2 linked regions of the Rattus norvegicus genome follow. The protein of the gene in region 1 interacts with the protein of each later gene in a pairwise test. Links are inferred from orthologs where the notes say so. Each region holds a gene or a part of one and is shown in the gene's direction. Other genes may lie near its edges. The genes, in order: Prr22 and Nelfa.

Region 1 (3,917 bases):
CCCATGCCCCTGTTTGGTAGGTGCCCAGAGCCACTGGGACCACATCTCTCAGCTGGGAGGATGCTGGATTCTTTGGAAATCTCAAGACTGATTGATGGTGTCCTCATGTCCATGGGGCCTGCCACTGTCAAGACCCCACTGTGTCTCCTCAGGAAATGGAGACATCCTTTCGTTTGAGGACGCCAACTGTGCCATGCAGACAGGGGTTGCTGGGATCATGGTTGCCCGGTAAGTGACGCCAGATGGGCTGGGACAGCAATGCTAGAACTTTCTGCACCTGGGGACCCTGTGAGGCCGAGGCCTGGCTGCTGAGGTGACTGGAGCTAGGAGGCACCATGTCCTCAGTGAGCATCTCCCTTGTAGTGGCGCCTTGCTCAAGCCCTGGCTGTTCACTGAGATCAAAGAACAGAGACACTGGGACATCTCATCCTCTGAGCGCCTGGACATCTTGAGAGACTTCACACACTATGGCCTGGAACACTGGGGCTCTGACACACAGGGTGTGGAACGGACCCGGCGCTTCCTTCTTGAGTGGCTCTCCTTTCTTTGCAGGTGGGCACTGAACCAGGCAAATGGCCAAGGTAAGAGATTGTAGCCTCAGACCTCACCGAGCCTTATTGCTTCCTCTGCCCTCCTGGCCCACAGGTATGTGCCCGTGGGCCTGCTGGAACGACTGCCACAGAGGATCAATGAAAGGCCACCCTACTACTTAGGCCGTGACTACCTGGAGACACTCATGGCCAGCCAGCAGGCTGCAGACTGGATTCGAATCAGGTACGCACTGGCCAGGGCTCTACAGGTTGATGCTGTGAGGCCCAGGCCTGATCTGATCTGTCACTTTTGTCCCCACAGTGAGATGCTGCTTGGACCAGTTCCACCTGGCTTCGTCTTCCTGCCCAAGCACAAAGCCAATGCCTACAAGTAGCTAACAGAGACAATAAATTTTATTCTTGTAGAATTTCTTTTATTTTGTTGGGTTTTTTTTTTTTTTTTTTTGGTTTTTTTTTTTTTGGAGCTGGGGACCGAACCCAGGGCCTTGCGCTTCCTAGGTAAGCGCTCTACCACTGAGCTAAATCCCCAGCCCCTTGTTGGGTTTTTTGAGATAAGATCTTATATGGGCTGGCCTTGAACTCCTAGAATCCTAGGCACACCGTCCATCACACTGGCTTTTTCTTAGGTGACCTAAAATGGCCTCTGTTCCTCTTCTCCTAGGAGGTGGCCTTGGCAGGTGCCTGGTCCCCGTCTGCACTGTTTTCTGACTCTAATCTGTCCCGTTTTGTTGGGCAGTGTCCTTGGGACTTTGAATTGGGTGACTTGTATGGAGGCAGCAACAGAGACCTGGCTCCGGGTGGAGAGGGCCGCCTCTTGCCCACCCCCTCCCCCTCCTCCGGAACCCAAGTGATGGGCTTGCCCTGGACTGGAACCCTCCACCTAGCAACACGGTGCAAACAGAACCCAGCGGGACTCTGTCCCCAGGTGCCTCTGCTGCCACCCGGGCCCCCCCGGGGTGGCCTGTCTCACCCATGCAGCATCCCAAAACCCTCTATCCCCCAGCCATACCCCAGGAAAGCTTCAGCCTGCAGAACCTGGAGGGCCCTGAGGTACCAGGTGGCTCAGAACCCCTTCCCACTGTAGGTATGATGGTGGTGGTGGACAGGGGTGTGTGATGGCTATGGGGCCTGGGCCCCTGCCCCACCTACCAGGCACCTTTGTCCACAGCCAATGCTAACCTGCACTATCAGAACCCCGGCTCTGACCAGGAAGTGCTTCCAGCCCCTCCAGCAGGTATCGGCCGGCACCCTTGAGCCTCGCTCTGAACAGGCTTCATACCCAAGATGAGACCCCAGAATTGCCCTGGGTCCCCTCTACCCCAGACAGATACCCCCATAGCTGAACTGTGTCATGTTTTGAAGTAACACTGGAGAGCAGGCTGAAGCCTGCTTTGGTGACAGCGGCTGCCACTAGGCAAGGCTTTCTGAGAGGCCTGGGCACCCGAATTCAGGTCGTTGTTTTCCTGAGAGGCATCAGAGGAGAGGACCCCAACAGTCTCTGTGTCTTGCCCCCCACGAGTCCCCAGATGACTGGTAAACAGCCAGTTTTCAAGGCTCCTCAGAGGCCAAGGCTGTGTCCTATGTCCTGGGCTTTGGGACCCTCAACCCCCATGGCCTGGTTCCCCCATGGAGCCCCACTCAGGTGTCCACCACCCACAGGCTTCCAGATGGCTCCCTGCGGCTGCTTCTTCGACCCCCGCATCTACCGCATCGAGTGGGCCACCTCCGACTTTGGCCAGTCATCCCTGTACAAGGTGGCAGTGGCTGGGGGTCCTGCCTTATCTGGTGGCTACCTGCTGGAGGCCCCGTCCTACCTCAAGACCCCGGGGCCACCACCTCTGCTTTATCCCCACTACCAGCCGGCCCCCAGCGGGCCACAGTACCTCACACATTTCCTTCCACCAGAGGAGCCTATGCCTGAGGCTCTGGGCTTCATGCGGGACGGAGGGCCCCTCAACTTCATGGAGGTGCTCAGAGACGGCCTGGCACCCCCGCCAACCCCCAAAGAGACTAAGCCATCTCCCTTGCTTATCACAGTCCCCACAGCACACACGCTGCCACCTGGGCCCTATGGCCATCTCGGTGGCCAGACCAGCCAGTTTCCAGGACCCCAGGTGACCATGAGGCCCACCGAGGCCCCCAGGGAGCTGCAGAGTAGTGGTGCAGCCAGGCCGGGTCTGCAGTTCCCTCCTGGGCCTGGAGAGCCCACGGTGGCCAAGGTGGAGGAGGTCACCCCAGTGGGCTCAAGTGAGACCGTGCCTCCCGAGGTGGCTCGTGCGTTCTTCCTACCAGACAAGGTCCTTCTAGAAGATGCCATGAAACTTTTTGATTGTCTCCCTGGTGGCACTGAACCTGAGGTGGCCTTGCACAGGGGTCCTGGCCCCGGACTGCGGGACAGTGGTGGTGGTGGGGACGACTTCCCAACTGACATCCGCTCCCTGCACCTGCCAGATGACCTGCTGTCCTTTGACTACAGTGTCCCTGAGATTCTGGACGCGGTGGCCAACGTGGATTATGTTTTCAGCTTCAAGGCCCTGGAGGATGAGCCGCTGCCCCATCTTGGGGCCCCTGTCACTGACACGGCGGCCCCTGGCCTGCGGTCCCATCAACCGGGGAAAAAACCGAGCACATCCACCAAGAAAGGGAAACCAAGCGGTAGACACAGGCAGGCCACTGGCCTTGCTGGCACCACTGCCACAGGACCCAGGCTGGACCCAGGAGCCACCCCCAATTAAAGCCATTTGATCTCTCAGCTATGTGTGGACACATGTCCTGTGACCATGACCAGGCAAGACCGCCGACTGCATGGTGAGACTGGGGGTGGGGTGGTGCCAGTCACGTGCCTTCAGAGTTGAGTCAGGAATCTCAGAATTGGACTGTCAGGTATCAGGGTTGAAACTAAACTGTTAGCCCTACATTTAGGTTGCCTGGGTAGGAGGTTGGAGGCCAGTTTGGTCACAAAGTACAGCCTCATCTACAAGAAATGAAGATATGGTGCTGCAGCTCAGCTGGTAGAAGGTTGGGGGTTCATTGGTAAAGTGCGTGGGGCTCAGTCACTATTCACAAAACCCTGGACTCCTTCCCAGTGCTATATAAAGCGAGTGTGGTACATGGTTGTAACCCTAGCCCTGAGGAGGTAGGAGAAAGTCAGAATTTCAGGGCTAGCCTGAGCTCCCTGAGCCTGTCTCAAGAAGAAAGGCAGTTGCCTCAGACTGGCCATGTTGGGAGGTCTCTTGAGAAGTGGGGTTTTCTTTTCCAGACACTACTGAAATGGGTTCCCTCGTATGTTTGGTGGTCAGAGTCAAAGTGTCCTGAGAGGAGTGGGCACAAACCTGGAGATGCGGTGTGTAGGTAGGCCCTGGAGAG
Region 2 (3,809 bases), on another chromosome or scaffold:
CCAGTGTCTTCAGCCCTTCTGGGAACCGCACTCCAATACCACCTTCAAGGACGCCACTGCAGAAAGAAAGGGGTGTGAAGGTGGGCCATCCCTTCTCACAATCCTGTCAAGGCCAAGTGTTGATTCTTTGCTCTGTAATTAAGTGTGGCATGTGTTTATTTTGGCAGCTGCTGGATATTTCTGAGCTGAATACAGTTGGTGCTGGCCGAGAGGCAAAGAGGAGGAGGAAGACTTTAGGTGTGTGAAGCATTGAAGATCTGGAGGGAGGTCTGACAACACTGCAGCCTAGTGTGCTGTAGTTGTTTCTGCCAGTATAGTGTCTGGGTCCTTTGAGGTTTCTTTGTGCTTTCTCTTCCCGGTCTAGTCTGCCTGTGTCTTATCTCACCATCTTAGCACAATGGTAATGGGACTTTTCCCAGGGGTTTTTTTTCTTTTTTAGTGGGAGGTGTGGCTTCTTGAGACACGGTCTGTACACTGTAGTTCATCCTGGCCTCAAGCTTGAAGCTTTCCAACTGCTAGGATTACATTTAACACCATCCAAGGAATCATTTCTTTGCCCTGATACCCAAGTGCACAATGCCATTTTACATTTGGCTTTCACAGAGAACACTTGTGACTTCTGAACTGGGGCTGGGTCAGAGAGCCACTAACCAGCTCTCTTCATTTATCGGCAGACACAGAAGTGGTAGAAAAGCCCACCAAGGAAGAGACGGTTGTTGAAAATGCCACCCCTGACTATGCTGCTGGCCTGGTGTCCACACAGGTAGGACTTTCCATGCAGTGCAGCCGTGGGCATGCTCTATACCATTTCTAGCTGCTGACAGAGCCAAAATAATGTGCTCCCTTGTGTCCTGATTGATACTGATATGTTCTGTAAAAGTGTGTGCATACATATATGCAGGTGTGTGCGCATGTGCGAGCATGTGTGTGTTAGTGGCAGAGGGAGCCAGAGCCTGACTTGGGCACCAGTCTCGTGTTTGGCACAAACACCTTCCTCATACTAGGATTACTGCCTGGGGGTGTCCATACCACTGTTATATCATGCGCCTCACTGTCCGGTGCATATGGTTCCTGTTTGCCGCCCACCTGCTCTGAAGACCAGGAGCTGCATGCATGTGGGAAGGGTGTTTCAGCAGAGCGGCTCTTTCCCAGGGTCTGACTGTGGAGGTGGGTGTGGAGACAGTTGCACAGGTTGTGTGTGGAGGCAGTGTGGCCGTTTCATGGTACGGTCTCTGAGCCCACTGTCTTTGCAGTACCCTTTTCGTTGCTAAGCTTTTTCCCCTAGATGTCAGTTTGAGAGCATAGGGTGGTGGCCATGGCTTAAGTTAAAAGTCCAGCATCACTAAAATCAGGGGCTTATGGGCTAGAGAAGCCACTGTCCCTGCCCTGAGACAGCAGTATTTGCATTCTTGCTCTGTTGATGGGCAATGGCTGACTGAAAGTGTCCAGGCTACTCCCAGGAAGGTATACTGACTGCCTGGAGAAACTATGGTCTCTGCCTTCCAGAAACTTGGGTCTCTGAACAGTGAGCCAACACTGCCCTCCACAAGTTACCTGCCCTCTACACCCAGTGTGGTACCTGCCTCATCCTACATCCCCAGCTCTGAGACTCCCCCAGGTGAGTACCAGGCAGTGTTCTAACCAGTTTTCCTTCAGCCCACAGAAGCACTTGCCCTGGGGTCACAGGGTCACTTTGACACCTGGACTGAGCCTAGCAAAGCCACCCAGGAAGTAGCAGCCTTGCTCACACAGGGTTCTGCATTAAGGCACCTGTCCCATTGTCTTTTGGTCCCAGGGAGCAGGGAGAGCTCCTGGCCGAGAAATAAGCCAGAAGTCCTGATTTGAATGAAAAAGTAAAGGCCAAGACTTTGGCACCCTGCTCTTGGGGTGGTAGGTGGGAGGATGGTGGAAGCCAAGGGTTTTCTCTTCCCAGATGAGGCACACTGCAGAGGGATGATTCAGGGGCAGAGGTCGGTCACGAGAGTTCAGGGGTTGGCTCCACTGGGCTCAGCTTTGTACGTTGGCGGTCAGTTTTCTTCATGACATGTAAGGATCAGCAGCCTTGCTGAGGCTTGGGGAAGCTGCTTTCCAGGGTCCTGTAAACCAGTACCAGTACATGTCTGTCATAGGCCAAGGGCTAACCAGAGCCCTAGACAACCTAATCCCTGGGTCTAGAAATGCCAGAGGACATGAGCTTTGCTTTGCTGGGTAGTGCACGGGACTCCTTCCCTGTCTGTGAAGGGCAGCAGTGATGGGAGAAGACAGGAGGAGGATATGGGGTAGTTGTTGGGGCAAGGGATTGGAGCTGAGCCTGTTGCCTCTCCAGAAAATGGTGTCTGGGGCAGGCAGCCTGGGGGCCAGTCTGGGATGAGTAGATTAGGAATGAAGACTCGCTTTCCTGGACAGCTCTTAATAAACCTGCTTTGCCTGCAGCTCCACCCTCCCGGGAAGCCAGCCGGCCACCTGAGGAACCCAGCGCCCCAAGTCCCACACTGCCAACACAGTTTAAACAAAGGGCACCTATGTATAACAGTGGCCTGAGTCCAGCGACCCCAACACCTGCAGCACCTGCCTCACCTCTGACACCTACTGCTCCCCCAGCTGTCACTCCCACTGCTCAGACACCCCCAGTGGCCATGGTGGCCCCACAGACCCAGGCCCCGGCCCCTGTTCAGCAGCAACCTAAGAAGAACCTGTCCCTCACGGTAGGTCCCCAGGCAGGGCCCAAGGCCATTAAGTGGGTAGCACAGCTTTGCCATTTTTGCAACCCTGGGGTTATGGGATGAGTATAGCAGGGCCAGTGGTAGAGGGTAGGGCCTCAGCAGCCCAGACACCCACATCTTCCCTTCACAGAGAGAACAGATGTTTGCTGCCCAGGAGATGTTCAAGACAGCAAACAAGGTCACTCGGCCAGAGAAGGCCCTCATCCTGGGCTTCATGGCTGGCTCTCGAGGTGCGTCTGTGCTCCTAGGCTTGGGAGGTGTCCCCACCCCGCCCCCCGCCCCATGGATTGGGGAATGGGTTCCTTGGCCCTAGACACCTGCCCAGCAGTCCCTCTCCCTACAGAAAACCCATGCCCGGAGCAAGGGGATGTGATCCAGATCAAGCTCAGCGAGCACACAGAGGACCTGCCCAAGGCAGACGGCCAGGGCAGTACCACCATGCTAGTGGACACGGTGTTCGAGATGAACTATGCCACAGGCCAGTGGACGCGCTTCAAGAAGTACAAGCCTATGACCAATGTGTCCTAAGTGCGGTCTCTGCTGCTGACCGTCATCGCACCAGAGGACAAATTCTGCTGGTTCTGCTGTTTCCTGAGCAGATACCGGAAGGATGTGTTCCACCTAGCACTGCTGTCCACAGGCTCTGGGGCCCCAGCCAGTTCTCTGGGGAGTTTAGGCTTATTTTTTTATATTGTAATGAGTTAGTTTTTTGTGTGATTAAGATACTTTTTTTGGATTCAATATTATGCTTTGAATGCAAACCAAAATTTACTTCATAATTTTAGTGCCTGTTAGACTTTTACCTTTTTTACTTCTTCTTAAAATAGTACTGGCTAAGAGGGCTTTCTTTTTCTCTGCTTGTGCATGCCCTTCCTCATGAGGTTGAGGGGACCAAAGGTGACACCTGGCAGTCTAGGGTGTGAGGGCGGCTATGACCAGCCTTGATGCCACTACCTACCAGGGATTTGTATGTCTTTTGTACAGTTGTAAACTTTTCAAACCTGTGTCTGAGTTCCTATTTTCATTGTAAAATGACCTGAGCATTAAAGTTTAGTTTTTCTAAAGAAAGCCCACAGAACTGTGTTT

What was found.
Region 2: the proteins of Prr22 (region 1) and Nelfa interact in a two-hybrid assay, tested with the Homo sapiens proteins (2 studies listed by BioGRID). The two-hybrid records come from large-scale screens. The link is inferred for Rattus norvegicus from reciprocal best matches to the Homo sapiens genes PRR22 and NELFA.

Annotation. Positions count from the first base shown.
Region 1 is NC_086027.1:1,684,827-1,688,743, forward strand, and holds Prr22 (proline-rich protein 22), read left to right. Parts: upstream 1-1,468; 5' UTR 1,469-1,523; coding exon 1,524-1,635; intron 1,636-1,719; coding exon 1,720-1,785; exon of another isoform or gene 1,786-2,077; coding exon of another isoform or gene 2,078-2,210; coding exon 2,211-3,286; 3' UTR 3,287-3,303; downstream 3,304-3,917. Other genes in the region: Dus3l (tRNA-dihydrouridine(47) synthase [NAD(P)(+)]-like), read left to right, coding at 1-16, 153-228, 364-552, 646-774, 853-925.
Region 2 is NC_086032.1:81,053,756-81,057,564, forward strand, and holds the end of Nelfa (negative elongation factor A), read left to right. Parts: coding exon 1-80; intron 81-167; coding exon 168-237; intron 238-674; coding exon 675-763; intron 764-1,506; coding exon 1,507-1,618; intron 1,619-2,433; coding exon 2,434-2,705; intron 2,706-2,853; coding exon 2,854-2,953; intron 2,954-3,066; coding exon 3,067-3,251; 3' UTR 3,252-3,791; downstream 3,792-3,809. UniProt on the Homo sapiens protein: Essential component of the NELF complex, a complex that negatively regulates the elongation of transcription by RNA polymerase II.